Linked DNA regions of Saccharomyces cerevisiae S288C. Changing the gene in region 2 together with the main gene of any one other region gives a genetic interaction. Each region holds a gene or a part of one and is shown on either strand. Other genes may lie near its edges.

Region 1 (7,560 bases), on a different chromosome or scaffold from region 2:
GACAATTTGGAACCCACTAGTGTTTTGGCTGACAATTCGGAACCCACTAGTGTTTTGGCTGACAGTTCGGAACCCACTAGTGTTTTCACTGATGCTGTACAATCACCTAAGACGAGTGTTGGTCAATCTTCCCTATCAGAATCCACAAATATTGAAGGGACTTCTATGGCATCTATGATCTTTAGTAGTAGTGGTGCTTCAATTGGCGCTCTGTCTGATATAGGCAAGGGAACTTTATCCGTGGAGAGCGCGTCAAGCACAGTAGCTCAGCCGATGCCAGGTGTAACCACAACAGCACCATCTTTTGTAAGTAGCCCTCACAAAATATCTGCTAGTTCAATTGATGCATCAGGATTTGTACAGAAAGAAATAATGATAGAAGTACAGTCATCAAAAGATTCATCTGAAGCGTTTGGGGTACGCCACAAAATCAGCGAAAATGTAAATACTCCTGTTTCCCGAATGCTTACGACGGAAATGCAGGCATCTGGTACGGTAGATGTTACCGAAGACGTCTCTCTATCTAGTGAAGTTATTTCAGCACTTAACGTGGAGATCACTTCTTTGCCTAATCCAGTGGCCCCTCCGCAAACAATTGCAGCACCTTTGAATAATAATTCGAATACAAACATTGTCAACGATGATAATGCAGTAGCAGGAACCGTAAACTACGCTGGCCTTCATGACGAATTGTGAATAACGAAATAATATATATTAATGTTAAATATGATTACATAGCTTTGTGCACATATCTCTATGTCATCTTTTATGCATTTATATTTTGCCCATTTTTAAATAAATTATTAATTAACAAATGTGCACAAGCTAACAAACAGGCCTGATTACATATACACACCTTAATTGTTACCGGGTGGGTCTTTACTATATTCATTCAAGTCCATTAATTCTCTTGATAAGTCAGCATCAGTTGAATCTTCGTTAGGCAAATTTCTTTCACCAGCAACTCTATCTTCGTTGATAACAGTGTCCTGATCCTTCTCCATTTGCTGATCCTCGGTTCCCTGGTCACTTTGAACTTTTTCAACACCATCTCCATCATTAGAATGTCCCACTGAACCTGAACTGTCCGATGAACCTGTTTTTATTTTCATTTTTGCTTCCCTGATAAGCCTAGCAAAATCCTTCCGAAACATAACCATCCATCCTTTCCTATTAAATTTATCGTTTTTGAAATTTTCAAGTAATTTCCTATATGAAGAAGATTTCCCATTACTCTTCATTATCATTAATTTAGAAATTCCACCCTTGTTGCTACTATTTTGGGGGGTTTTATTGTGTGAAACATCCCAGCTTAACAACTGTCTTTTTAGTTCAGCTTCATCAACAGGTTCTAGAGAATCACAAAAATTAGAATTCCAAAGCATTTCGTAGTGATTGTATCTTTTAATCATGTTTTGCCTAGTACCATTAGTTGACAGTCCCAACGATGACAGTTTTTGTTTTATTTGGGATTGAGTCATAGACGTAAAATTGATCTTCGGCAATCTTTGGTGTTCTGCACTCATCATTGAGTTTAAATACTTATCCACATGTGAGGTCTCACCACATGAGCTTTTGTCGACTTCTGGAGTTCGTACCTTGAATCTGGATGAACTTTTGTTATGTGGATTTGACTCTGTAGGGAAAGTGGTAGAAATTTTTGGTTTTTTGCCTAGTGATTGTAAAGTTAGGCATTCATCCAAATGTGTTTTTTCAAGGGCTTTAAGAGGATAAAATTGTTGACATATGGGGCACTGGGCCATTTGTTCATTTGGCTTTGATTTTTTCTTGATACGTTCACTTCTGAACATTGCAAAATTCCTTTTGGATGGTTTGGAACTCAGTGGTAATATATCAGTCATGGATCTTTTGGCAAGTTTTCTTTCACTTGTTGCAACAATTTGCAAGTCATCATCAGCGGCATTTACACTGTCACTTTCAGACTCTGATATGAGTTCTATCCATGAAGAATTTTCAGGACCTGGTACTTCCTCATTCTCAGGGACAGGGGTAGGCTTCGGTATCCTTAGTGCATCTAGTAAGGAAGATCGTAGGGATGTATAACTTTGAATTATTTCACTGACCAGGAACTCACTTCTCAGCAAGGACTCTCTGAACTCGAAAAGGCAGAGAGGACAATTTGGTTGGTTATTCAAATGTGTTCTAATACAAAGGGAACAAAATGTATGGCCACAAGGTGTTAAGACGGGGACTTTTAGAAAATCTTTACAAATGTGACATCTCAAAAGTGTATCCAATTGGTACAGGCTCGGTATTGAAGTAGTCGTGAAGTCGCTTGCAGTGGTTATTTGGTGGTCCATGAGTAGTAAAAATGGCCTTTTCTTAGTAGCTGTGATGCTCACTTGCGGATGGTTTTTCTTCTAATGTGGCATTGCTCAAGTGGTACTTAGTTTTTCACTTTCTATTGAAAAATGCAAGGCAACGGGGCAAGTAAAAATAAAAGAGATCAAAAAGGTAAGTGAAGTGAATGGAAACTTCAGCTAAATACTGTATTAAAAATCCGTAAGGATCAAAAATAAAGATATGTAAAATATAAAACTTAGAAAAAAAATTTGTATCATTTTTGTTATGATTACAATTTTTTCCTGCCTCTTCTGCAATTGATTATACCATAGAAGAGCGGGAAAAGAAGTTAGTTGACCCGACAATACAATAAGATTAAAAAGAAAATGCTATGTGATATGATAACTCCAGCCCAGTTTAGGACTCATCCAACCGTTTGCGATGAATCCATCAGATTAAGAATAATTAGTTTTCGGTGAGGAAAAGAAAATGAAAAAAAAAAAAAAAAAAAGTCAATTCTTTTCATTACCGCTATCGTTGGAAGGGTGATTATGATAAGGATGATGTTTTTGATTGCTATCCGTAGTATTGTTACCATCAGAAATCTTTTCAGTTGCGCGCTTCCAAACAGAATAAACATCCACGCCAAACAGCCCGCTTGAAGCAAATTTGGAATTCGTTGCGCTTGTGAGGACATCGGGTGCAGAGGACTTTCTTGGTGAAATTTGGGTTTCCAAAGTGCCCCCCGGCGTCGTGATATACCTGATTGGAGTCTCTATAGCTCTAAATAGCGGAGAACAGTACAAATCTTCAAAAAGGTGTGAAGGAGTCTGCCATTTCCTCAAAATCGAGTTACCGTCCTTAGGTGTGCTTATCAACCGCGATGGGGTTTTCTCTAAGCCATCGGAATGCCTCATCTTGGGTGTTTTAAGTAAGTCCGAACCATGAGAGGAAGGTGGAGGTGGAAGTTGAGAATTGGAATATGATTGCTGAGATTGTGGTTTCGACATGAGCGCAAGATTTTTCTGATCGTACAGCTTCAATGGGGAATACGGAAGTGGGTCGAGTAGAGAACCAGCCCCTACATTACTTCGAAGTGGAGATAAATCTTCAAAATTTGAATTGAATGAGGTGAAATATTTTCTGAAATTCTGAGGAGACTTTGCGCTAGTTATAGGGAGTGTATTAAATCTATTTGCCTGGGTGATATTATTGTTTTTCACACCCGCCTGGAAATGATCTTTGGCATTCACCAGCGACGGTAAGCCTAAAGAAGTATGATATTTCTTCATGACATAAGGAGGTTCCAAGGAATCTATATTGTTGACATCGTTTTCTATCATGTTCCGCATCGATTCTAGGTTTTCGTGAGGGTTCAGTACACTGTTGTCTGTTTTCAATTGCGGTATGTGATGTAACTGGGAAACTCTCAGTATAGGGGAGGAGTTCAATTGAATTTCAATGGAAGGGAATTTCCCTGCTTCCTCTCTTTCTTCCTCGTCAGGAAGATCATCATTGCCTTCTCCACTCTCAACTTGTTCTAATTCATCAAGTGTAGAATCTATTTCAAAATACTTCCCAATGTCTTGTAAGGAGTCCTTTACAAATTCATAACCACGATTTTCACCTTTGAAAAATTTTGTTTCGGCACCCGGTCTGACCTCCCAGAAATGACCCTTACCATCGCAGGACTTTTCAGTCTTGATGAACGCATCATTTAAAGACAAGTTATGTCTTATTGAATTTTGCCAACTAGCATCTTTCTGCTTGTAATAAGGGAAGTGAACGTGGATCCAATGATATATCTGGGATAGCGTTAGCTTTCCCTCCTGAGATTGCAAAATGGCCAAGCAAATCAAAGTTGCATACGAATATGGAGGTTTCTTGGCGAGTTCACCATTTATTCTTCTTCTTTCCAAAGATTGAAGAATTTCTTCCAAGGTTAGGTTACCATTGGACCGAGCGCATGTGTCCGATCTTTGGCGCTTGGCCTTAGATGGAGCAATTGGGGACGAGTGATCCGGTGAGAGGGGATGCGACGGCCTCTTATTTACTTCCTTCATTGTTTTTCTCACAGTTGAGCTCGGGGGAGTAATCATTTCCTTTTCGTCTTCTAGTGTTCTCTTGGCTTGGGTTAATAGCACGGTGCTTTTTTCCGTTAAAAAACTATTATGGCCATCAATGATGGATATGTCTTCATTCATCATTGAAAAGTTGGAATTTTTGTTGATTTTTTTTTTTTTTGCTTCGAAATAAGAGGTAGTTTCGGTCAATAAAAGAAGCTCAAATAGTAGATGTAACTATAATAAAAGGGGGGAAAAGAATAGAATACGATTTAAAGCGTTGGAACCTCTGTTAAGATATACTCTATATGATTTTCAATTAATCATGCAACATATATTTAAAGTTTGAGAAGGATCAAAGGGCACCGTAAGGGAGGAGAAGAAGTAATTTTTTGATTTTAAATGAGGACGCGTTTTAGTCAGTGTTTCAGATCCTTATTACATCCACAGGTTTTAACGCGTTATCTTTGTTCCGAAAAAAAAAAAAAACGGAAAAATATATTTTTTCGCGTCGCGTTCTCGCGTCTGTTTTGTTTTTTCGCGTTCCAATGACCAAAATGGGAAAGTGGTCGTCTTTGACGAAGGAGACGAAAACCTCTTCTAAAACGTTGGGAGAGAGATAATTACATGGCCAGAACAATACTGCAACGTGCATATAGTCGTTAGTCTGTGCTTGCACATCCACGGCAGCCGCAGTGGACGCACTGATGGAAGGACACCTGTGTGCCCTTTTTGCGTGCTTCTTCCTCTAACTGTGCACGAGGCACCCTGCAGATGCAAGTGCTACCGTTGTTAGTTTCGTTCTTTTGAATGCAGCGCAGACAGCACAGTTTTTCATACCCGGTTTTGCGCCATTTGGCAATTAGCAATTTATCAGCATACTTTTCCTTTATCAACCAATCGTAAAGGTCTTTGGAGATGGCCTTTCTCTTGTAGTACAGAGTATATATGTATCTAGAGCGCTGGTGGTGGAGTTGCATTATCTCCCAGAGCTGCTCATTGGACTTTGCTGCGAGCTTAGACGACTTGTCCTTTTGGGCATCTCTGAGTTGGATTTCGAAATCTGTGAGGGTTGGCTTGATTTTTTCGAACCCGTCAGGTGCAGGCTTGGATCTTCTGGTCTTTATGCGCGGCATGTCGTTTTGTGAGGTGAGCTTTGCTAGTCTTGACGGCTGTAGAGGTGTTTACATTGATGATGAGTCCCTAAGAAAATTTTTCTTTTTTTTTCAGTATTTCACTTTCCGTTGTGAACGACAAATGTACTATGCGTTCAAGAGCCAACGCAGTATCATCGTCAAAGTTCCTACCACAACGCGTGTGATTGATCTTGTACTGGTTGTAAATGTGCTAAGTCTGTGACTGCAGTGAATAGGATTGTTTTAATCAACGATGTTATTTAAAAAAAATTAAACGACACCAGCAGGATTTGAACCAGCGCGGGCAGAGCCCAAGAGATAGCCGAACTTTTTATTCCATTCGAGTCTCTCGCCTTAACCACTCGGCCATAGTGCCATTTCGATTTGAAATTATGGTTTAAAGCGGTAGGTTTTATACATGTTTCTAGGCGTTTTTTCACAGATCCAAGACAGTAGAGCAGCTTGGCGTAGGTAGGATGGTGAGTAGAAAAACTAAAAAAAGAAAAAAGGAAGGAAGAACTTATTATACATTATGTAGAGTAACTAATTTTCATGTCTTTTGTGGATTATTTTACATTCTCAGAGAGAACCTCCAGTAGAGTCATTATACATAATATATTCACTTTTATCAGGTATGGGCCCTCAATAATCGTCATTGAACTCAATTCCAATGAGATCTTGCTTATTCATTTTTATAAATTTTGAGGAAGCGATAACGCATTCAGAATTGACTGAATGCTGGATAAACTAATAATTAAGAATTAAAAAGTAGGTGAGGAAAAGTAAAGCATATAAGCTTCTCACTCAAAGATGAGGGGGGGGTGAAAAAAAAAAGAAAAAAGAAAAGCCATTATGGCGGTTAAAGACTGGTTTTCCTGGTTTTGATGAGCCAGTCTTTCCAAATAAATAAAATCATTTCCCAAGCCATCAACAAAGAAACGAATCCAACACTGAGGTTGAAAGTGAACATGGGGGTAAACCCCCTATATTCCATGGCTTCAATGGACTGATCCGTGGACTCCATAAATACCAGACCACCACAGAGGAGACAGAACGAGGTGATCAACTCCGTGAAAGGCTTGGATGCGGCACTGTTGGTGTTGGGCACCAAAAACAGAATCAAAAATGTTAGCAGACGGAAGAAGGACCCATAGGACAACAAGTATCCCCATTGCGTGTGAATGGTAGTAGAAAATTGCGAGGACTGTGCGTGCTGGGACATCAGAATCCCAGTCCAAAATATGGTGAAAGCGGGGAACGGGTTTGGAGAGTACCCCGGTGTGGCAGCAACTACATCGGTCTGTGGCCGTTTGCGGGCATGCTCGAATCGCCAATGGTTGAGCTTGTACTCCGTGAGTAGCCCACACAATCCGGTTCCTATGAACATAAACGCGATCGACACATGCTGTAAATCCTTGGCAGTCCATGCGCCGCCGTTTCCTGCCAGGTGCTCCAAGAAGATGTTGGTGGACCCGTAAAAGAAAATGAGGAAGGATTCAACGAATTCCATGGTGAAAGTCCCCGCAGGAGCAAACCGGAAAAGAAGATTGGAGGAACGCGTTTGTGTGAGTTGAGAGGTGAAGCTGATGTTGTTCCATGCCCAGCCGTACTTAGCTGCGAAACCGCAGTATCTTGCTAAAGAGACAACGCCCAGAGTAAAAAATACGCCGCCCTTAATCCAGTGGGCCAAGAGATTAAAGATGCGGATGCCCTTGCCGAGCAAGTTACCTACAGCGAAGCCGATGATTAGGTCTACAAAGATGTACATGAATAGCGGGTAGGTAAGCATGTGAAAGACCACGTTGGCGACGCACGAGAGGTGCGCGGCAAGCATCTGGTACTTCGTGTTGGTAAACAAGATTCGGAAAACGGGTATGTCTTGAGGAAGCAGAGGTGGCGCTTCAATGGAAGCAATTTCGTCGTCATCATTATCGTAGTCTTCGTCGCGCAAAGTGTCGTGGTTGGAGGTGTTATCACCCTCGTCTTCGCCTTCAGCGCGTCTCCGTTTATTATTATTGGTGGCCGTGGCGGTCGTGGTGTCTGAAGAGAGCGAGAAC
Region 2 (6,476 bases):
TTTGTGACGGTGAACTTGATGAGATTTCAAGTAAGCCTTGTGATTTTCAGCGTCCTTGCTCAATTTCTCCTTAAGCATGTCTGACTTTACTCTGTTTTCCTCTCTCAATGTCTCCAATTCCTTGTTAAGGTTGGACTTGGAATCTTTGATTTCCAAGTCGGACAATGCATCGGCAGCAGCTTTGGAAGGGGTCTCTTTAGGCATGGTAATTGGACAAATAAATACGTGTATTAAGTTTGGATTCTTTGGTAGATAGCCAATCGAGGGAACAATTAAAAAAAAGAAAGAAATAAAAGACAAGAAGAAGAGCGAAAAAGGGGAAAGTGATGAGGAAAAGAACAATAGATAGATCCAGAAGATGATGGTAACGCGCAAACACTACCGCTATATATACCTACAAAACTCTCATTCTCTCATTTCCTGCTTCGTTCATTTCGAGTTTCCAAGGGTATGGTACGGTGCTATCTGCCCGTGCTTCCCCTCCTTTGCTTTGCTAAGAAAAATTTTCTTTTGTCAGCAGCAACAACACGCTACGCTCTGCGCTGTGCTACGAAGTGGTCTCTGTGGCAACGGGGACATTGTACCCATGCCCGCTCGCAGGGAGGTCTGGGTGTGGGGCGTGTGCGACCTCGTTGCCATGGCGATCGCGCGTGGGTGTGGTCTTTCCCCAAACGGTTGCCCGTTGCTCCGGATTTCGCATAGTTGTCGCGTAAACAAAAAACACGAGAGAGGGCGGACGGCGCTGAATAGTGGAAGATCGCGCGATGTCAAGTAAATAAGCTTGTATTTGTATTTGTATGTGTTTATGTGTTTGTGTGGTTGAGAATTTTATTTTCCTCCTAGTTTTTTCTTTTTTGAGTGCGGAGGGGCAGTGCTCTAAACTTTGCCTGCTTCTTGTTCGACTTCGGCTTCCTATGCAGAACGCAAAATCGCGTGCGCGAGGAACGAGGAAGACAACGCTTTAGATTGGCTTTTTCGTCGCCCATGCCCGTTGCGATAGCGATATGATGAGAAATCGATAAAAGGTTGCACCAGTACACCGCACTTTCTGGCGTGCTTGGATCTGGCTTGCGCGGCCTCGTGCCAGTAAGTAGAAAAGTAGTAATATGGCATGGCGAAAGAGAACAAAACAAGCAAAGCAAGCGTAATGCACAGCTGTGGCTAAAAAAAGAGCACAGAGGTGAAGGGAAAAAAAGATAAAGAAATTAAGGAGGTTGAGAGGGCTTGTGTGTCGATGCTTGGTGAGGCGGGACGTAACGGTTTTTTGTCTGTAGGCACTTCTACCCCACAGGGCCATGAATCTGGCCCGAAACCGTTGCGAGCGTGCCAATTGGTGGTGATATCTTTTTTCTTCCCTTTTTTTTTGTTTTCCGTTCTGTTATGTTCCTTCATCTTGAATTCACTAAAGGGAACAGAAGAAAAAGTTGGATATTAGATAAGCGGTACTTTTCTACAGGTCTAGTATTATTCCTCGGTTGGAACAAGAAATAGTGCTTCAGTAGCTCAGTAGGAAGAGCGTCAGTCTCATAATCTGAAGGTCGAGAGTTCGAACCTCCCCTGGAGCATATTTTTATACGTATATCTTTTTTCCCTCTATTTTGTTTTTTTTTTCTTTGTTTTTTCGTAGCTAGTAAAGAAGAGAAGGAGACCTAAAGTGTATATATACTTAATCTGCGATCATTGAAAAGTCGCTAGCTTATTGTCACTTACTGCATTTTCACAACATCTTCCATTTTTGTTTTCTCAGAAGGACAATGCTGGAAGGTACGGTAGATTATGACCCGCTGGAAGATATTACCAATATACTTTTTTCAAAAGAATCCCTGAACAACATAGATGAACTGATCAGTATTACCAGAAGCTACAAAAAGCAATTGCAAGAGGATATTCTCAAAGAAGAGAATGAATTGAAGGAACACCCTAAAAATTCCGCTGAAATAGAGGCTTCTCTGAGGAAAGTTTTCCAAGATTTCAAAGAAACTCAAGATGTCTCAGCCTCCACCGAGTTGACGATATCGAATCTGACAGAAGGTATCTCGTACCTGGACATTGCCAAGAAAAACCTCACCCACTCTTTGACTCTTTTCCAAAATTTAAAGATATTGACAGACAGTTACATACAATGCAATGAATTACTCTCACAGGGCTCATTCAAAAAAATGGTGTCCCCTTATAAGATAATGTGTTCGCTTGCTGAAAACACATTCATCTCTTACAAATCATTGGACGAGATAAACTATTTGTTGAGCTCCATTTCAAGACTGAAAGGAGACACTTTGTCCAAAATTAAACAAAACTACAATGCGCTCTTTTCCGGCGGCAATATCTCAGAGCATGATACAGCACTCACTATGGAATTGCGCGAAGGTGCCTGCGAGCTACTCGACTGCGATACAAGTACGAGAGCCCAGATGATAGATTGGTGTTTGGACAAACTTCTCTTCGAAATGAAAGAGATATTTAGGGTCGACGATGAAGCCGGATCCCTAGAAAATTTATCGAGAAGATACATTTACTTCAAAAAAATTCTTAATAACTTCAATTCAAAGTTCGCAGACTATTTCTTAAAAGACTGGGAAATGGCAGTCAGATTGACCACCACTTTTTATCACATTACACACAAGGACCTTCAGACACTTCTGAAAAGGGAATTCAAAGACAAGAACCCTTCCATTGATCTATTCATGACAGCATTACAATCGACGCTAGATTTCGAAAAATACATCGACGTACGATTTTCAAAAAAAATTAAGGAACCAAAACTAAGTTCCTGCTTCGAACCTTATTTGACTTTATGGGTGTCTCACCAAAACCAAATGATGGAAAAGAAATTTCTTTCTTATATGAGTGAGCCGAAGTACCCATCTAATGAAACAGAATCTCTCGTGTTACCCTCGAGTGCAGACCTTTTCAGGACATATCGTTCCGTACTGACTCAGACCTTAGAGCTCATTGATAATAATGCCAATGATAGCATATTGACTTCATTGGCAAATTTTTTCAGTAGATGGCTTCAAACTTACTCACAAAAAATTCTTCTTCCTTTACTGCTGCCCGACAATATTGAAGTCCAGGATAAGCTAGAAGCTGCCAAGTATACCGTTTTATTGATCAATACTGCAGATTATTGTGCCACGACTATAGATCAATTGGAGGATAAATTATCTGAATTCAGCGGTAATCGTGAAAAGCTGGCAAACAGTTTTACGAAAACGAAAAATATATACGACGATTTACTAGCAAAAGGAACTTCTTTTCTATTAAACCGTGTCATACCCTTAGATCTAAATTTTGTATGGAGAGAGTTTATCAACAATGATTGGTCAAATGCTGCGATAGAAGATTATAGCAGGTACATGGTAACCCTCAAATCCGTACTTAAAATGCCCGCATTAACAGATGCCTCTATTAAACAACAGCAAGAGCAACCTTCGACTTTGGCATTTATTTTGTCGCAATTCAATAGAGATGTTTATAAGTGGAATTTCTTGGATAAGGTGATTGATATCATCACTACAAATTTTGTAAGCAATACCATCCGCCTTCTGCAGCCCGTTCCACCCTTTTCCCTGGCGGGCAGCAAAAGGAAATTTGAAACCAGAACTGTTGTCAACATTGGCGAGCAGCTTCTCCTTGATTTAGAATTGCTGAAGGAGATTTTTCACACTTTACCAGAAAGTGTAAGTAACGATTCTGACTTGCGAGAAAATACCTCTTATAAGAGGGTGAAAAGACATGCAGACAATAATATAGACCAGCTGCTGAAGTTTATTAAACTTCTAATGGCTCCTCTGGATTCCGCTGATGACTATTACGAGACCTACTCCAAATTGACCAATAATAACCCTGATTCAGCGGTATGGTCTTTTGTCCTCGCTTTAAAGGGCATTCCATGGGACCTGGCATTATGGAAAAAGCTATGGAGTGCCTACAACTTAGAAACAGACGACACTGACGAGGGCAGCAGGCCAGACAGTAATCGCGATCTTTTCATATTCAAGTGGGACAAGGTACTTTTGGGTCAATTTGAAAACAACTTGGCAAGGATGCAAGATCCGAATTGGTCAAAATTTGTGAGGCAAGATCTGAAAATATCACCACCTGTTATGAAGAGGATAGTATCCACCCCTCAAATACAACAACAAAAAGAAGAACAAAAAAAGCAAAGTTTGAGTGTCAAAGACTTCGTTTCTCACTCAAGGTTCTTTAACAGAGGCACTTGAAAAAACGCATGAAGTGGTTTACAGAGGAAGTACGTAGTATAGTATAATATAGTTCATAAATCTATATTCTTTCTAAACATCGAAAACGAGATTTTTTTGGACTTCCGTCTTTTTTTTTTTTTTTGACTTGAATTCTATTAATATTTATAGCTGACCTGCGCACCAACTTTATGATCGTTGGTAGAGAATGTTTTGAATTGAACTACTTCACCATCAGGTATCTCTTTACTATTGGAGTCGGCCCATTCTAACGGAACTTTAGCATCCGCGTCTGTATATGCAAGTACTGTGAATGTGTACCCACCTTCTTTTGTTAGTTCGGGCAGAAAGGTAACGCTTGAGGTGATTTGCCTGATTAAAGCTCTGATTTGTGATTGTGTTGTATTTAAATCTACAACATCATCCTGCCCGTTGCTATTGCCAGAAATGTGTTGCACATTGAAGGACCATCTTTCCACCACCTCTCCCTCATCCTTGTCTACAATACATAATACTAATTGATTGCATTTTCCACCAAGAAGCCACCTGTGAACTTGTAGAAGAATTTTCCGAATGTAATCTTTCAGTTCATCATCATGTGTCTTTAGTAACGTAAGATCGTACTTTTTCACCGTTACGAAATCTTCTGCTGGGTATACGCCTCTTTGGTACAAAATGGAATTAATGCTGTACTCGAAAAATTCTGTAACTGTCCTTGTTGAACCCTTTAGTGATATTGATTGTGACATTAAATGTGCTATTGGGCCCCTTTGAAGTGGTTTTCAATACTCTTGTACGAGTATTTAACATCAATCATTCTTCGGGGCGATTTCTATTCTTGAAATGTTAAATCATAAACCATACGTAAACATTTGAAAAAAATTAAAGGCAAAAAAGAAAAAAACCACATTTTTGAGCCACATATACCTAGTATACTGAATTTATACTATAAAGCAGTAGGTCAGCAATGGTATGTGCACTTCAAATGTTCGTTACATTATGAATTCTTTTTTTTACTGACTACCAAGCAATTTTTTATATTTGCCACATTAAACAGCATGGCATTAAAAGGAAACAGTGGACCAAGGAATTACTGAGACAAAAGAGAGTTCAAGACGAAAAGAAAATATATGATTATAGAAGCTTGACTGAAAATGTTTTGAATATGAGAGATGAAAAAATTTACTCAATTGAAGCTCTGAAGAAAACATCAGAACTTCTTGAGAAAAATCCGGAATTTAATGCTATTTGGAATTACAGAAGGGATATTATAGCGAGTTTGGCTTCTGAGTTGGAAATACCTTTCTGGGATAAAGAGTTAGTTTTTGTAATGATGCTATTGAAGGATTACCCCAAAGTCTATTGGATATGGAATCACAGACTTTGGGTCTTGAAACATTATCCTACGAGTTCCCCTAAAGTGTGGCAAACTGAACTTGCTGTCGTGAATAAGTTATTGGAACAAGATGCAAGAAATTACCACGGATGGCATTACCGCAGAATAGTTGTTGGTAACATAGAGAGTATCACTAATAAAAGTCTTGACAAGGAGGAGTTTGAATACACAACAATAAAGATTAACAATAACATTTCAAATTATTCTGCATGGCACCAAAGAGTACAGATCATAAGCAGAATGTTTCAGAAAGGAGAGGTTGGGAATCAAAAGGAGTATATTCGGACTGAAATATCTTATATCATCAACGCTATGTTTACCGACGCCGAAGACCAATCCGTATGGTTTTATATCAAGTGGTTCATTAAAAACGACATTGTTTGTAAAACTCTGGACGAACAAGAGTACCTTAAAATGTTGAAAGACTTGAGAGAAAACATTCTGTTAATAAATAATGACGAAATTGAATTTTCCGGGAAGCAAAATATTTGGTGCTTGAAAATTTTATTAGTTCTCGAAGATATTCTGGAAGAAAAGGAAGCTCTAACGGAAAGAAGCTCGGAACAATATTTGGTCCAATTAATAGATGCGGATCCGTTAAGAAAGAATAGATACCTACATCTCCTGGAGCAGCATAAGTGATGATATACATATATAAACATATATATATATGTATATATGATGGAAGCCTGTTCACTATAAGCGGGATTTCATTTGACACCTTCAATGCACGAAAGTATATGCATATTTTTCTTTTATTGTAATATTACCGATGATTTGAACAAAGAAATAAGTATATTAGTGTAGAGAATAGATGTATACAAGTTCTAAATACTATAGGTTAGACTATGCAGGAGGGTTTAACCCTGGATTAATTT
Region 3 (9,376 bases), on a different chromosome or scaffold from region 2:
CTTTTATTTTTATAATATTTCTTTCCTTACCAGGGCTTGGAGTCTCTACAACAGTTAGCTTACTGTTTATTCTGCCACATTTCCACCCTTTTGTGGGGCTTCTATTTCAAGGACCTTCATTATGGAAACAGGGCGAGGTTGTTTGTTCTTCCTGCATGTTGCGCGCAGTGCGTAAGAAAGCGGGACGTAAGCAGTTTAGCCATTCTAAAAGGGGCATTATCAGAATAAGAAGGCCCTATGAGGTATGATTGTAAAGCAAGTGGTGTAAAATTGTGTGCTACCTACCGTATTAGTAGGAACAATTATGCAAGAGGGGTCCTGTGCAAATAAAAAATATATATCTAGAAAAAGAGTAGGTAGGTCCTTCACAATATTGACTGATAGCGATCTCCTCACTATTTTTCACTTATATGCAGTATATTTGTCTGCTTATCTTTCATTAAGTGGAATCATTTGTAGTTTATTCCTACTTTATGGGTATTTTCCAATCATAAAGCATACCGTGGTAATTTAGCCGGGGAAAAGAAGAATGATGGCGGCTAAATTTCGGCGGCTATTTCATTCATTCAAGTATAAAAGGGAGAGGTTTGACTAATTTTTTACTTGAGCTCCTTCTGGAGTGCTCTTGTACGTTTCAAATTTTATTAAGGACCAAATATACAACAGAAAGAAGAAGAGCGGAATGAGACCGTTGTATAGCTGCAACCTTGCAACCAAAGATGATATTGAGATGGCAGGTGGCGTAGCTCCTGCTCACCTGGAAGTTAATGTAGGCGGCTATAATACAGAGCAGACAATACCTATAGTAAAGCATCAGCTCGTGAAAGTTGGGAGAAATGATAAGGAATGTCAACTCGTTCTAACGAATCCCTCTATCTCCTCTGTTCATTGCGTGTTTTGGTGTGTCTTTTTTGATGAGGATAGTATTCCAATGTTCTACGTTAAAGATTGTTCTCTTAATGGAACGTATTTGAACGGTTTGCTTTTGAAAAGGGACAAAACGTATCTTTTAAAACATTGCGACGTTATTGAATTATCGCAGGGAAGTGAAGAAAATGACATTAAAAAAACACGACTAGTTTTTATGATTAATGATGATTTACAATCTTCTCTGGACCCAAAACTTTTAGATCAAATGGGTTTTCTGAGGGAAGTAGACCAATGGGAAATAACAAATAGAATAGTGGGTAATGGCACTTTCGGTCATGTTCTGATCACGCATAACTCAAAAGAACGTGATGAAGATGTCTGTTATCACCCTGAAAATTATGCTGTGAAGATCATTAAACTAAAACCAAATAAATTCGATAAAGAGGCTCGAATCCTTTTGAGACTGGATCACCCAAATATTATCAAAGTCTACCATACTTTCTGTGACAGGAACAATCACCTTTACATATTCCAGGATCTTATCCCTGGTGGTGATTTGTTTTCTTACCTAGCTAAAGGCGACTGTCTAACTTCCATGTCAGAAACTGAATCGCTATTGATCGTCTTTCAAATTTTGCAAGCTTTAAACTACCTTCATGATCAAGACATTGTTCACCGCGATTTGAAACTAGACAATATTTTGTTATGTACGCCAGAACCGTGCACTAGAATCGTCTTGGCAGACTTTGGTATAGCTAAAGATTTAAATTCCAACAAAGAAAGAATGCATACTGTCGTAGGCACTCCGGAATACTGCGCTCCAGAAGTTGGATTCAGAGCAAACAGAAAAGCATATCAAAGCTTCTCAAGAGCAGCTACGTTAGAGCAACGAGGTTATGACAGTAAATGTGATCTTTGGTCTTTGGGTGTCATTACACACATTATGTTAACAGGGATCTCGCCTTTTTATGGAGATGGTTCTGAGAGGAGTATTATTCAAAATGCAAAAATTGGGAAGCTGAATTTCAAACTGAAGCAGTGGGATATTGTTTCAGATAATGCCAAGAGTTTTGTCAAAGACCTTTTGCAAACTGACGTAGTTAAACGATTAAATAGTAAGCAAGGTCTCAAACATATTTGGATTGCAAAACACTTAAGTCAATTAGAGAGATTATATTACAAAAAGATATTGTGCAATAACGAAGGCCCTAAACTAGAAAGTATAAATTCAGACTGGAAAAGGAAGTTACCCAAAAGTGTTATCATTTCTCAGGCAATACCGAAAAAGAAGAAGGTTTTGGAGTAATCATAGGATTATCTCTTCCTCTTTCAAACTGCGCGTAGTTCAAAATAAAAAGGTATCTGTGTAAAAAAAAAAAAGTAAGTCAATTGTATGATTTTTAAGTAAAAGTTGCCCTTTTCTACTAGAAACGGCGAGAAAAAATGATAGTAGTGTGCCAAGAAGAATATGAAGTTACTTTTTAAAAGATATTCGTCTAGTCATATTGGTAAGCTGATTAAGGACTCTTTAATCACTCCTGAAATACTACCACAGCTAGGGCGACAGCCATCATCGCATAAACGTTTACCAAATAACAAAAGAACTAACTCAATAACTGATAAATGGTTGAAGGATGCGCTAACAAGAAAAGATAAACTGAATGAAGATAAGCTCCAAAATGTAAATTTACGATTAAATGTGGTACTGACTACTCTACAGAAGCTTCGTACATCCGATAATCCTGCTTTGTATTTTGCGTTGTTGAATCGTATTGGCACAGGTCACATAAAATGGCTAAATAAAAGTGGCCGACAGATTGATGCATTCCCACCTGATCGGCTGCCTTTGGAATTTTATCATGAGCTATCTAATATGCTCTATAAACTATCGCTTCGGTCCGCAAATGACAAAATTGCACTAGCTAAATTTTCATTGCAATTATTGGATCGCTATTATTTTCTTAAAACCAAATCTTTAACTATAGAAGGAAAATTTCGGGCAAACATAAAATTTTTGAGGAATTGTACTCTTTTAATTGTTAAATCCCAATCGAACTACTACTTAAGGGCAATACAGCGGTTGTTCGCGGAAAATTCGGAGGGTCAATTATTAGCCAATTTATCCCAGCTGGCATTTTATGTGGAGACCTCCCAATGGACAAGTATGTTGGATATTTTATCCTCATGTGTACCGGATTCTGGTTTAAGAGGTTCGAAGGAGCGTGAAAGAGCTATTCAATTGTTGGAGTTATTTAGTCCATGCCTAGTCAAAAGTCTAAAAGTAATGATAGCACAAAATATGGAGAATGAAGCTTGTCAGATTTTAAGGAGCTTGTCTGAATGGAACTTTCATTTTGATCAGCATGATTCCTCCAACTTGATACAATTATCCCAGAACCATTCTTGCCTCAAAGTTATTGAAACCATGAATGGATTATCATCAACTACCGCTGTCACTAGGCAATTCGGACTTGAAAAATTACCAACTGACGTGAGTTTGAAGCAGAGCATACATATTTTATCAAAAGATAATTTCGAACCTCTCAAGCAAGATTCATTTCTTCAATTTCTATCGTTTAAATTAAGTGATTTGCCTCTGAACTTAGAAGTATGGAAAAAGCACATTAAGGAGGTTGATGACCAAATGCAGGCTGAGTCCAACCTGCATTCCTTAAGAGCTTTTTTTATTGATATGCTACTGTGTCACTTATCTGTGCGCAAGGATTTCGATTTTATGCTTTCATTGGTCGAGCACATAGTATACGAAAAAAATTTATGGCAGCCATTATTACTCACAGATAATATAGTTGGAAACAAAGAAAATTCCACTTTTCATTGCCTCTTTCATGGCGCCTCTCAAGATATTTCTACCAAACTTACTCTACTGGCATTGTATAACCAGTTGAATGAAATCGGCTATCAATTTACCTCCCACGATTTTCTCTCGATGTTGAAAGTCTGCAAAAACTACTCTGATTCTGATTTTTTCTATTTTGCTTTCTATAATTTGTTGGTTACACAAAGTCACAAATTTTTTCTTTTCGATAAGTTTAGTGATAAGTTTTCGTGGAGGTTGCCAATACAAATCGGAGATGCAATTTCTGAATGGCTATCCAGCTTAGAAATTGATATACAAGAAAACACCGATAGAGTTTTGCAGATAACAGATGACGTCGGCGAATGGTATGTTGAGAATAAACCATTTAAGTCAGAAAAAGGGACCATTCAACCAATAAACATAATGGAATTGCGCAAAATTTTTGGGGAGCGAAAAACTCTATTTCATATGGATTCAGAAATTTTCCAAAAATCTAAAGCAAAAAGAGATAAAGAAATGCGGAATGAAGCTTTATTTACCGCAAATGATGCGGAATATAATTTTGCTGCGGATGTATCCTATGCAAAGAGAGTAGAAAATCTATTTTCTTACATAAGATCTAAGCAAATGCAACAAAAATAATGATTATATGTAAAATTTGCCGTTTACATTCTATAAAGTGATATCAGACTCTAATATATTCGCCAATTCATGTTTCTGGCAGGCCACTTGTAGAGCTTGGAGTTGCCTGGTGACACCTAATTCCAAAAATATCTGGAACATACCTTGTAAAGCGACATTTTGATCAGTCATAAATTTTGATTTTGTTGCGGCGTATTCACGTTTCACAAGAACCAACAACCTTTTCAGTATTATGTTGGATAGATTCTTCTGGTCAGCATTTTCTCTCATTGTGTGGTAACAAGATATTGCCAAGAACGGGAAGAATTTGATCACGCTTACTCTCAATGTCGTACAATCTAATAAATGTAGGTTATAGAACTTGGCGAAAACACCCTGAAAATTAAAATTTGGATGTAGAACAACCAACCCAGATTCCATGATTCTAGTCCAAAATTTTACACAATGAATGGTGAATTTGATGGTGTCAAATCTCATACCTCCTGTTAATGGATCCTTGTTACGATCGCGTATTCTTGATTCAGCGATTTGTTTAGCGCTTGGAATTATTCTGATTAAATCGTGGCATAATTCCAGCTGTTGTGAAGGAGACAAAGATCTGTAGTATACGATAAATGAATCTATTGATGAAGTAAGCTGAGAATCTGTAAAATGTATTGCTCCAGCGCTCACTGCATATCCTTTCCAGAATTCTTCACTTAAACCTTGCTTGTGACGGAAATTGAGTATCGAAGAGTCAGATAACACAGTGATTTGTGATGTGGCCGAAGCAAGTAATTGATAACTTAGTTTTCTGATCTCTGGTACAGGTTCCGCCAGCAATCTCGTTAATTTTGGATTGATGGAGTCGCAATCACCAGATAAGAAATCGGGATGGGATTGCATAAGTTTTAAAGCCTGTATTCTTACCAGACGTCCTACATCACCCTGTTGAGTTATTGTATAATCATCGAGACAGTTGATAATGATGTTGCGAAATTTTCGATACGAATTCGACGGGAGTAAGCTTATTCTAACATCCCAATGATGATCAAGTTCGCCTATCAAAAGCGATCTGGATTGAGGTGACAATAGGGGGAACTGGGAGAAGAAAAGGGAACACATCTTTTCTTGATCGGGCATATGACATATTGATCGGCAAGTCAGTTCGTTATCTGATTTAATTAATTGAACAATCCTTGTGTAGTTTAGGCTAACGCATTGAGATATTATTTGCTGTATTATAGGGATGAATTCGTTGTACAGATTTAACTTCTTTTGTGGGGATACTATGTCTACAAATTTCCAAAACAATTCCTGATTGAAATCATTTTGTCCTGTTAATTGCCAGTATTTCAAAATGACAAAAATTTGAAACAGTTCGGGCGAATTATCGTTAAATTGTCTTTTCGCTTGAGTAGTTAATTGGAATTTTATCTTTTTCTGGTAAATGTCGATACAAATCTCGCTTATTTTCGGGCAATTTACGTCATTTTCGAATAGTTTCAAGTACAAGTACAAAATTTGACAATTTTGTGTAACTGAGCTGCCAGCCTTGTTTAATACCTCTTGCAATAAAGCGGGTGAAGATAATTTCGACTTGATTAATGGAACTAGGTTATAATCTATGTTGAGTTTCATTGTGGTCAAATGTAAATTCTCTAGTAAATTCCAATTGAAGGACCAATCGCGGAATACCTTCCATACGCAAACAGCACTTTTGGAGGTGTTTTCGGGGTTGAACAGCCTACGAATTAGACCAGAGTTCTCCTCGAAAGACCTCGGTAGATCCTTCCAATTTGCTTGCAATATCAAAGCAATGTCATTTTGATTTAGCGCAAGAGATTTGTTGGACCTGCCCAATAATTCTTGGAGCGCGGCAAAACTCGAGTATCTGATTATTAATTCGGGGTCAAAAAAGGCGTTTATTAACAGATGAGAAAGTAGTGATTGTAGAACCTGCGGCGATAAACTATTGCTACGGTTTGACCTTATTACTGACCAGATAATGAAGTTTGTCGAGTCCCTGATATGGTGGCCCTTGATGATTTGAAAGTGAGATTTCTGAAAATGACATGTTTTAGGGATGATCAGAGTCAATACGCGGTCGACTAGATCTATAGGCAGAATTTTGGCCAGAGCCACCTCGGCGATGATCAGAAGGGAAGTGTGCAGCTCATTGCTATCGATAGAATCGCAAGGAGCCTGTAATAGGGAAACCGTATTTTCGATGGTATAATCAATGAGCTCGATAAAAGATGCTGGATCTGCCTGGTGCAGGAACTTGGCAATTTTAGCGAAGGAGTGTGCCAATTGGAATCTTGTGTCTGTGGAATTCGAACTTAAATGGTCATGGAAGAATTCTACTATAGCATCTAGGATATCATGAGAGCCATGATTGAACGAAATCTGGAATAATTTTGGCAGCAGCTTTATTCCGTCATTGGACAGTGCAACTTGTTGTAAGTGTCTTAGATTTTCATTGGAGAAGTAGTAGTTTGCCTTTTCCGAAGACTGAATAAACAGCTTTAAAAATTGGTTGAGAAACGGCACATTTGCCTGTTCCCGTTCCGGTAGCTGGTCAAAGGCATCTGTGAAGTTTTTGAAATATAAAACGGCTTTGATCTTGTTAATTGGAGGTATGCAAATGGGGTAGTTCTCGAACCTGGAAGATACTTGAAGCGTTTTGTTGAATTTATCTTTGAATGCGTAAGGTGAAAGCAGAATGACGCTTAGCCAAGAAAGGTTTAGATAGACGCACAAGACATCGCTGAAAGAAGAGGGCGAGGCTCGATCTTGTAAATAGTTTAAAATTTCGTTTAATCTAAAAATACTTGTATCTAATGATTTAAGGACTTTTGAGTGGGAGATCTTGTCAAGATTGTAGAAAAGCTCCGCAACAAGTTTCTGATCACGCTGTGACATACAAAAGAACGACTTGGTCAAAAGAGGCACGCATCTCGGTAGTATGGTGTCTAGAAGTGCAGGATCATCTTGAAATTTGTTGATCGCGGCAATCGTCTGTTGGTGCTTTTCTGGAGAAACGGTCTGAACTCCAGATTGTATCGAGTCCAGCAAGGCCCGAATATTGTTCATGATTGAAGGGTGTAAAGTGCGTGTGGTGGCGTTCTTTCCAAAAATATTATCGTCTTTCCTTTTTTTTTCTTTTTTTTTTTTTCAATAGTAATAGTATTTCCTAGTGATCTCGGCGATTTTCCTTGATTTCTCCAAAAGCGTTTTTACCCGGACGATATGAATCCATCTATTAAACATCATAACATCATATTATTTTTTTCTGTGCTTCTAAAACGGAGATCAAATACCGGGCCCGCGCGCGATGGCCGGATGTCCGTCCATACTGCAATGTGAATTCCCGCGCGGTTCAAATCTTGTCACAAGTTTGTCAAAATTGCTTGTCATGTCTGCCAAATCTCCAGGGTCCTAAATCTGAGGTAGCACGGCACGGCACAAGATGGTACCCATGGTGCGTGACGACAGCCGCTACTTGCACGGCTTTGTTCCGGCAGCCCGGGTACCCGCGCTGCGAGTTGAAACATCATCAAACCAAAAGGGAAGCGACGTTAGTTTTTTTCATTGCGCTAGCTATGACGTTTGGGTGGCCTAGCCGGTTCGCGTGTGCCTGTCGCTTTTGTCGCTTTTCAACTTCTGCCCGATATTTCCTATCAAAGGAAAATGGGACGTTTTCAACCCCTCGCTATCATCGTGCCTGCACTCTGCCTATCGCCAACTACACCGGGGTTTTATCTGCTTCACCCCTCCATCCAGTGCTGATAACAAGAAGAACCTTGCAGGGTAGGGCAGGACCTACGGCCAAAATACTAATTATGTCTGTTTATGTACATGCCCCAATCTGAATATTCCATGAATGTAGGCACAGCATATCTCCATCCATGTACTGATACAGACGCATAAACATATATGTATATACATACTTATACACTCGAATATTTGTAGACTGATGTACTTCTATATATATATAGGGGGTTTGTGTTCCTCTTCCTTTCCTTTTTTTTTCTCTCTTCCCTTCCAGTTTCTTTTATTCTTTGCTGTTTCGAAGAATCACACCATCAATGAATAAATCATGGTAAATATACTGCCCTTCCACAAGAACAATAGACACAGCGCGGGAGTCGTCACCTGCGCGGACGATGTTAGCGGCGACGGTAGCGGCGGCGACACCAAGAAGGAGGAGGATGTTGTCCAGGTAACGGAATCACCATCGTCCGGGTCGCGCAATAATCATCGCAGCGACAATGAAAAAGATGACGCCATCCGTATGGAGAAAATATCTAAGAACCAGTCCGCGTCGTCCAACGGCACCATCCGCGAGGATTTGATTATGGACGTGGACTTGGAGAAATCGCCCTCCGTCGATGGCGATAGCGAGCCGCACAAACTAAAACAAGGTTTGCAGTCGCGCCATGTGCAACTGATCGCGCTGGGCGGCGCCATCGGTACCGGTTTGCTGGTGGGGACTTCATCCACGCTTCATACGTGCGGTCCCGCGGGGCTGTTCATATCGTACATTATTATTTCCGCGGTGATCTACCCGATCATGTGCGCGCTGGGCGAAATGGTGTGCTTTTTGCCCGGTGATGGTTCTGACAGTGCCGGGTCGACGGCCAATCTGGTCACTAGGTACGTTGACCCTTCGTTGGGCTTCGCCACTGGGTGGAATTACTTCTACTGCTACGTCATTTTAGTGGCCGCCGAGTGTACGGCGGCATCCGGTGTGGTCGAATACTGGACCACCGCGGTTCCCAAGGGCGTTTGGATCACGATCTTTCTATGCGTGGTTGTTATACTAAACTTTTCCGCGGTCAAAGTGTACGGCGAATCCGAGTTTTGGTTCGCGTCTATCAAGATATTATGCATTGTGGGACTGATCATTCTGTCCTTTATTTTGTTTTGGGGTGGTGGCCCCAACCATGACCGTCTTGGCTTCAGATACTGGCAACATCCGGGCGCTTTTGCGCATCACCTCACGGGCGGATCGCTGGGTAACTTCACAGATATCTACACTGGGATTATCAAGGGCGCCTTCGC
Region 4 (6,848 bases), on a different chromosome or scaffold from region 2:
AAAACCTTTTCGTACCACGGGTAAAAATTTTGCATCGTGATGATACCAAGAAGTAGTAAAAGCTCATGGCTTCTTATATATTATATATGGAATACATTTATAATAAAATAATAAGAATTATATATTTTATGATTATATTATTACATAAAGTATTCCCCATTATAAATTCTGAGTTTCGTATTTAATGATTTTTCAATGAATATTTAAAATAATAAAATATATGAAATGTTCATATACAATGAAATTGTCATGAAGAAAGATGACTCCAAGTATCGTTTATAAATCGTCGAGAAAAAGATTATGAAGTTGGTTAACTTTTTAAAAAAGCTGCGCAATGAGCAGGTTACCATAGAACTAAAAAACGGTACCACCGTTTGGGGTACACTGCAGTCGGTATCACCACAAATGAATGCTATCTTAACTGACGTGAAGTTGACCCTACCACAACCCCGACTAAATAAATTGAACAGTAATGGTATTGCGATGGCTAGTCTGTACTTGACTGGAGGACAGCAACCTACTGCAAGTGACAACATAGCAAGTTTGCAATACATAAACATTAGAGGCAATACCATAAGACAGATAATCTTACCTGATTCCTTGAACCTGGATTCACTTTTGGTTGACCAAAAGCAACTTAATTCCCTAAGAAGATCGGGTCAAATTGCAAATGACCCCAGCAAAAAGAGAAGGCGCGATTTTGGTGCACCAGCGAATAAAAGGCCAAGAAGAGGTCTATGATTCGCTGCTGGTGTCGTTGTCATCTTCACTGTCACCATTACTTTCGCTTTCGCTAGAACTACTCTCTTCATCAGAGTTGTATATTTTATTCCATTGACATTTCCCTAATGGAATACCCCAGATATGGTCCTGTGTGGCCAACCAATCGACTAATTCATCAATGTGTATTATACAAAGTTCTTCGTTATAGGAGTGAGCAAAGCAGTCTACTTGTAGTGGGAAACTTTTTAGTTTGAAATAATGCTGTGAATATTTGTATAATTGTACTTTAAATAACTTTATCAAATCATTTTCATCATCATCGTTTTTGTTATTGCCATTCAAATAATAATACTGTAACCGCGCATAAACCAGAAGCAAAGCAATAATATATTTCGAGTCAAAACCGTTCTCATTTTTTACATTCAATAAGAAGTTCAACTGCTGGAAATTCGGTCTGATTTCGATTAACTTCATTAAGATGCATTTAAACTCAATGCCACCGAGAACCATCATGTGTAAATGACCATTTTGACCTTTTATGGTACCAAATGCGCCAATCATAACTTTCAAAAGCTCTACCATTGTATTGCCTCTCAAAGATTCGTTGCTTAGATTTACTTTATAGTACATTGAATTATGAATTTTATCTCTTGTCAACCGAGGAATAACAAGTGACACTGACTGGTTATTCAGTTGTTTTGGAGAGATGTTAGACTCCACTTGAAATTCATTGACAGCCATTGTAGTCCTTGTTCTTTACCCACGTTTTGTTTTTGTTCTTGCGTTTTTACTGCCACTGAAAATATAGCGTTGTAATGGCTTTAGATTTTACTTTTTTTTATCATAATTCTTGTTCAGAACGTTCGTTATTGATATCACAAAATTATTTACATGATTAGACATTAAAAACATAAAACAGTACACATAGGGTTTACTATTCTAAACTATAGTTATCTTCTCTCTTATTCTTCAGAACCAGCCTATACTTTGGTTTTTTTTCATTTTTTCTACTCTCTTGGCATACTTCGAACCCTTCTTGGAAGCAATCAACTCATCTACCTTCTTTAAAGCTTCTTCACGTTTTTTTAGCTTTTCGTTTAATTTCAATTCATGCTTATGACCCTTGGGCAAGAGAACACCTTTCATGAGGGTCTTTTTATTGTATTTCTCCTCGAAGAAAAGTTTCTTAGTGTTTTCGATCGGTGGTAAAAACTCTTCTACTCCATAACGCAGTGCCAACTTATATACGTCACTCATTCTTCTAAGTGAATATTTCGGATCATGAAATCGTTGTGTGACCGGATGTTTATTTGGCAGGAAAGGATTGGCATTAATGGCTTTAGTAGATGTAGACACTGGAGAATACTTGATTGAAGGGGGGTATCTTTGGAAAAAGGACTTCAATTTCAAAGGCAAACTATCAAAATACTGTTTGTATGACATGGAGTTTAGTTTAATGCACTAGTTGGTTTTCCTATTCTGTATAAATGGTTCACTTTATTTCGTATTTCACTTGCTCTTCCACTTTCACTTGTATCCCAGTCATTTTTTTTTTTTGTTTGAGAAAAAAGGAATATAAAAAGGCGCTACTATAAAGTACTTAATGATACTATAATTTAGAAGATTGACTTGATAAGACCGTTGTGTACCACCAGTCGATGGCTAGGGAGGATTCTAGACTCGAAACCATTTCCCACAATTGTTGAAGTAGCTTTTTGTTATGTGTATTGATTAGCTGGAGACAGATGTTCAACCAGCCGATCAAATGATGAGGATTGTTGATAAAGGCTATTTGTACAATCAGACATTCAATCAATACATTCTTCTTTTCTGGGTTTTTTACATTAACAATTCTGATATACGTCTCGTGCAAAGAGTCCCTAAGCAAATGCTTGTTATAATTATGTAGTGAGGGAAGTTGTGTGGATAGATGGCCGAATATAAGTAAAATTTGATTTGCGGACAATTTACCTGCAATAAATTGGTCCATCGACATCTTTAAATAGACGAGTATGCGGGATACTTGCCATTGTGCAACCTGTGAGGAATAAGAGGAGTCTATAGACAGTACAGTGATTGTCAATGTGTGTATAGATTCTTTGATTTCAATATCCAAGGTATTGCCCGTCTTCCCGCTAAAAAATACATCGAAATGCAGTAAAGGTTCGATAAACTCAGTAATAAACGGCAAACGAATGCGACACCCATAGTAATTAGTAATTTTGTTTAGAAAATTGATGTAAAACACTAATTTATTTGGATCTTGTTTGGTGTTGTTTCTTTTCATTAGTTCCAAAACTGTAGTGATTTTAGACAAGTCATCCATGACAATGAAATACGTTACTAAATTATCGTAAACATAATCGTAACTGGGAAAACCGACTGTCCCGATTTTTTGAGTCAATACGTGGACGTGGAAAAGGCTTAAACAGATCATAGAATAAAAAGTGTCTTTATGGTTAGGCAGTATTGTCATATTCATGGCGGATAATTCTTTTAACGCGAGGATTATCAGGATAAATACATTTTGGAACTTGAAATCTAGTTGTTGTTCTTTCAACGAAGCCACAGTATCGGACAAGTATCGACATATCCTTTCTAGTTTGCGTACTGAATTTACCAAAGTTGCCTCATTTGACCTCGTGATTGAACTGGTCAAGCAACTGGCCAAATGATTCAAGTTGGTTGATAAGACTGAATCAGTCGAAAAAATTTCCATCGGCTGCACAATGCCGTGTACATACTCTTCCAAAAGGTCCAATAGTTTCTCTGTGACCAAATTCCATGATACGTCAACTCCATGCAAAAGGGCGCTTCGGTTTGACTGATTAAAAAGTAAAGCTAATGCTATCAGAAGGCAATGCTGAATCGATAAATTAGCCCTGACAATGGCAGTATTCCATAGCTGCGCCCATATTGGTGAAAACAGTTGTAATTTCCAGTTTCTGTAATAAAGCGCAGTTTTGTTGCTGGATTCATCAATAAAATAGGCGTTGTTCAATTGTTTGAAGCTCGGGTATGTGACTAGTACACCATCCAAAACCATCAACTGTGAAAGGTTCCACGTGGCTCGGTGAGATTCGAAAACAGCATTCCAAACCAAGTAAAACTTCGAAATTGGGAGCGTGGGCTCAGAAACTTCCAGTTTCCAAAGGAAAACATCTTTGACGATGTGCAAAAGGCGTAGTGGTGGTAATTGGACAATGAACTGCGATCGGAAAAGTGCTCCGACCAAGCGATACAAAGTGTCGGGGGATTTGACTCTTGGGACGTAGTATACCACATTGGCCGCGATTTCGTCTAGCAGGCGTTGATCATACTGGATCCTCGTTTCGGAAGAGAGTGCAGTGATCAGATATTCGACGTCATGATCAAACATAATGTCCTAATGCCCTCTGTAAGTGCGGTTTTGCGCGCATACATGCGTATTCATATTTCCCTTTTGCATTTGTCTTCTTCGGTTTTCCTGGTAGAATTTCCCTTAATGGGAGAGTAGTAACAATGCAAAAAATGAAGAAAATTGAGAAAAAACAAAAAAGAAAAAAAAAAAAAAAAAAAAAAAGAGAGCTATGTAGGTTGATTGTGTTGTTCTATGTAGTGCCCTTTATTTTTCTTTGGATTTAAATTTACAGACACATTATATCTTGAGGTTTTTAGTCCCTTCTTGAGCCTGCTTCAAGTCTTGCCTTCTCTGAACGTCCCAGTTATACAATCGCGCGCAATTGACCTCCATTGTCGTGATATTTTCCCTCAAAAACTCTACGTCCTCGGTGGACACCGTTAAAGACTGTTCGGAATCCGCGAGTTTCTTCTTTAACAACTCTATGGCCTCGTCGATGGGATATTCCAGCATCACGTCTGCGCCAAGCCACAACCCAACTTTCAAATCCGCCCGATCTTCCGGTATATCAACCTGAGCCTTTGTGTAGAGCGTGTCGTTCAATTGGTAGTGCAACAGGATAGGTTCATCGCTCTCATCGCCCTCGTCGCTGTGATTGCGCAGACTTTGGCATATTTTTAATGTGTTTTCCAAGTCCGGGATTCTAGTCTTCAGCTGCTTTATCGTAGCCAATTTAGATTCCTGCATAAATTTGTACTTAGAAAGCCGTTCTTGGAACTTATTGAAGCACAATTCGAAGTCGCTTGGGTCCTTAATTATTTCGTTGACATTTTCGATGAATGGAGCCTGCGGTATGCCTCTGGCATTCTTTTCCGTGGAGTTGAACAGTGTGTCCATAATAACCGTAGTATCTGTTATATATGTGCGTACAGTTTTCTGCAGTAAATGTTGTCTACAATTTATAGCCTCTACAATAGTGTTAAACTAGATTTTTTCACTTTCTTTTCTGACCAGTTCTGCAAAATGATCGAAGAAACGAAACAAATCATGTGTTACCCGTCCTGCACAATCATGAGTGCCTGCGGTTTCCATATTGGAACGGCACCTTCCTTTTTTGGAAGTCACGTTCCTGCAGCGCGTTTCTTTTTTTTTTTTTTTTTTTTTTTTATTTTTCGGTTTTTTTCGCACGTTTCTTTTTGGTGAGCGAGAAAGCTCGTTGCCTCCTAATATAAAGGATGAGATGAGATGAGCAGTGCCGCAAATGAGGGATGTGTTTATTTGTTCATTGTCGTTTTGCGATTATCTTCGTTTTCATGTGTTAACTCATTCATTCATTCATTTACTCGTTCACGCACACGCAGCAGTTATTCCCTCGACGAGCGTTCACTTGTATCATATAGCATAGTTTACGTAGCAATGAATAAAAGCAGCAAGGCATTTCAGGTACCGAATAAGGTCATCACCAAGGAGGATATTACTCCCTTGTCCAGATCGCACACAAAGAAAGCGGACACTCGCGGGACAGCAGATGGTAAAAACACCACAGCCAGTGCAGTCGAGGCCACCCCAATCATCATCACCACTGCTCGTTCGATAGATACTGCCGGTTCACTATCTGAGAACGCCACCGAGGACGATGGCACCCAAAACGGAGATTTACACGATGATGACGATGATGACGACCTCGAAAGTACGCTCGGCTATAGTTCTGAGCCTGATCCTCTCTTCTCCCCATGCCACCAGCCTTCCTTCACCAACAGCACATTTAGTTACAGTGCGGACAATGAACTACCCATGGAGGAAAATCACAACAAGAATAATTTCCACGATAGCAGCGAGAGCAGTATCTTTCTACCACAGATACAGCAATCATTCTTTTTCGGCGACAATAGCAAGAGTGACGCAAATAATACGGACTTCTGGAAGGAAGTAAATGGCACTGCAGAAGAGGCCATTTGCCTGCAGGAGACAAGACAAAGAAAATGCTCCCTCGTGGCTCTGCATCCAGGCGACGCCACCACGAGTTCGAACGACACATTGGGAATAGAGGACTTCATCAAAGATGATATCAACAGTGCTGAAGCCATGGAACCCTCCCCATCTTCATCACCATCTTCCTCCCTTCTTGATAATTTGGACTACAATATCAAGTTATTGTGCTACAGAGACAATGAGGGCAAGTTCACCTTGAAAAAAAGGAAGTTTTTGAAGAATTCCCTGCGCTCATCCTCTGCAATTTCTAAAAAGTGGAAACCCTTGTCTAAAAGAGATAAGCTGTTGAAGAGGGCCATAAGAAGAAAGAGTGGTGTTTGCCAGACGTTATCAGCTGGTTTTGGTATCGGTGAATTCATGTTGTAATAACAGTACTATTAACAGTACAATAAATAGATTCTTTTTATACAGTGTTAGGGTAACTTGTTTTTGTAGGATTTGAAAAATATGTCATTATAAGATCTATATCTTTTACTATTTGGACAAGTTGGCTAATTTGATAGGCAATTGAATAAGAAGGAACTCTGTATCTCAACACATCACATGTCTACTCAATCCGGTATAGTCGCAGAACAAGCCTTGCTGCATTCTCTGAATGAAAATCTTTCAGCAGATGGCATCGTCATCATTATAGCCAAAATTTCCCCTGATTCTACCTCGGTACATCAAACGCAAGTCGCACGTAGCTTCGAGGAGCTGGTACAGTTGGCATCACAAGAAAGAGAACCGTTGTACATCTTCTATAAGCCGGAAGGGCTTGATAAGTACTTCTTTGTGTCATTCATCCCCGATG

What was found.
Region 1: mutations in MAD2 (region 2) and HCM1 together harm fitness more than expected from each alone (negative genetic interaction), as found in Saccharomyces cerevisiae (8 studies listed by BioGRID, with this or other methods).
Region 3: mutations in MAD2 (region 2) and CIN1 together harm fitness more than expected from each alone (negative genetic interaction), as found in Saccharomyces cerevisiae (8 studies listed by BioGRID, with this or other methods).
Region 4: mutations in MAD2 (region 2) and PAC10 are lethal when combined (synthetic lethality), as found in Saccharomyces cerevisiae (5 studies listed by BioGRID, with this or other methods).

The regions. Positions count from the first base shown.
Region 1 is NC_001135.5:226,261-233,820, reverse strand, and holds HCM1 (Hcm1p), read right to left. Parts: upstream 4,512-7,560; coding exon 2,817-4,511; downstream 1-2,816. Other genes in the region: GTPase-activating protein SED4, read left to right, coding at 1-696; E3 ubiquitin-protein ligase RAD18, read right to left, coding at 858-2,321; U2 snRNP complex subunit BUD31, read right to left, coding at 5,030-5,503; TVS1 (Tvs1p), read right to left, coding at 6,363-7,560. UniProt on the Saccharomyces cerevisiae protein: Transcription factor regulating the cell cycle specific transcription of a spindle pole body (SPB) calmodulin binding protein SPC110. Required for full induction of SPC110 transcription in late G1. Binds to DNA consensus sequence 5'-[AT]AA[TC]AAACAA[AT]-3'.
Region 2 is NC_001142.9:386,132-392,607, reverse strand, and holds MAD2 (spindle checkpoint protein MAD2), read right to left. Parts: upstream 4,952-6,476; coding exon 4,361-4,951; downstream 1-4,360. Other genes in the region: ribonucleotide-diphosphate reductase subunit RNR2, read right to left, coding at 1-204; YJL027C (uncharacterized protein), read left to right, coding at 359-775; YJL028W (uncharacterized protein), read right to left, coding at 962-1,297; VPS53 (Vps53p), read left to right, coding at 1,755-4,223; Rab geranylgeranyltransferase BET4, read left to right, coding at 5,170-5,172, 5,260-6,240; RNA-dependent ATPase HCA4, read right to left, coding at 6,459-6,476. UniProt on the Saccharomyces cerevisiae protein: Central component of the spindle assembly checkpoint which is a feedback control that prevents cells with incompletely assembled spindles from leaving mitosis. Thought to be recruited to unattached kinetochores by MAD1.
Region 3 is NC_001147.6:987,818-997,193, reverse strand, and holds CIN1 (Cin1p), read right to left. Parts: upstream 7,406-9,376; coding exon 4,361-7,405; downstream 1-4,360. Other genes in the region: serine/threonine protein kinase MEK1, read left to right, coding at 683-2,176; MNE1 (Mne1p), read left to right, coding at 2,339-4,330; proline permease PUT4, read left to right, coding at 8,412-9,376.
Region 4 is NC_001139.9:635,412-642,259, forward strand, and holds PAC10 (tubulin-binding prefolding complex subunit PAC10), read right to left. Parts: upstream 4,961-6,848; coding exon 4,361-4,960; downstream 1-4,360. Other genes in the region: UPF3 (Upf3p), read left to right, coding at 1-56; mRNA splicing protein SMD1, read left to right, coding at 301-741; U4/U6-U5 snRNP complex subunit PRP38, read right to left, coding at 736-1,464; mitochondrial 54S ribosomal protein mL59 MRPL25, read right to left, coding at 1,693-2,166; PEX8 (Pex8p), read right to left, coding at 2,333-4,102; YGR079W (uncharacterized protein), read left to right, coding at 5,309-6,421; twinfilin TWF1, read left to right, coding at 6,599-6,848. UniProt on the Saccharomyces cerevisiae protein: Binds specifically to cytosolic chaperonin (c-CPN) and transfers target proteins to it. Binds to nascent polypeptide chain and promotes folding in an environment in which there are many competing pathways for nonnative proteins.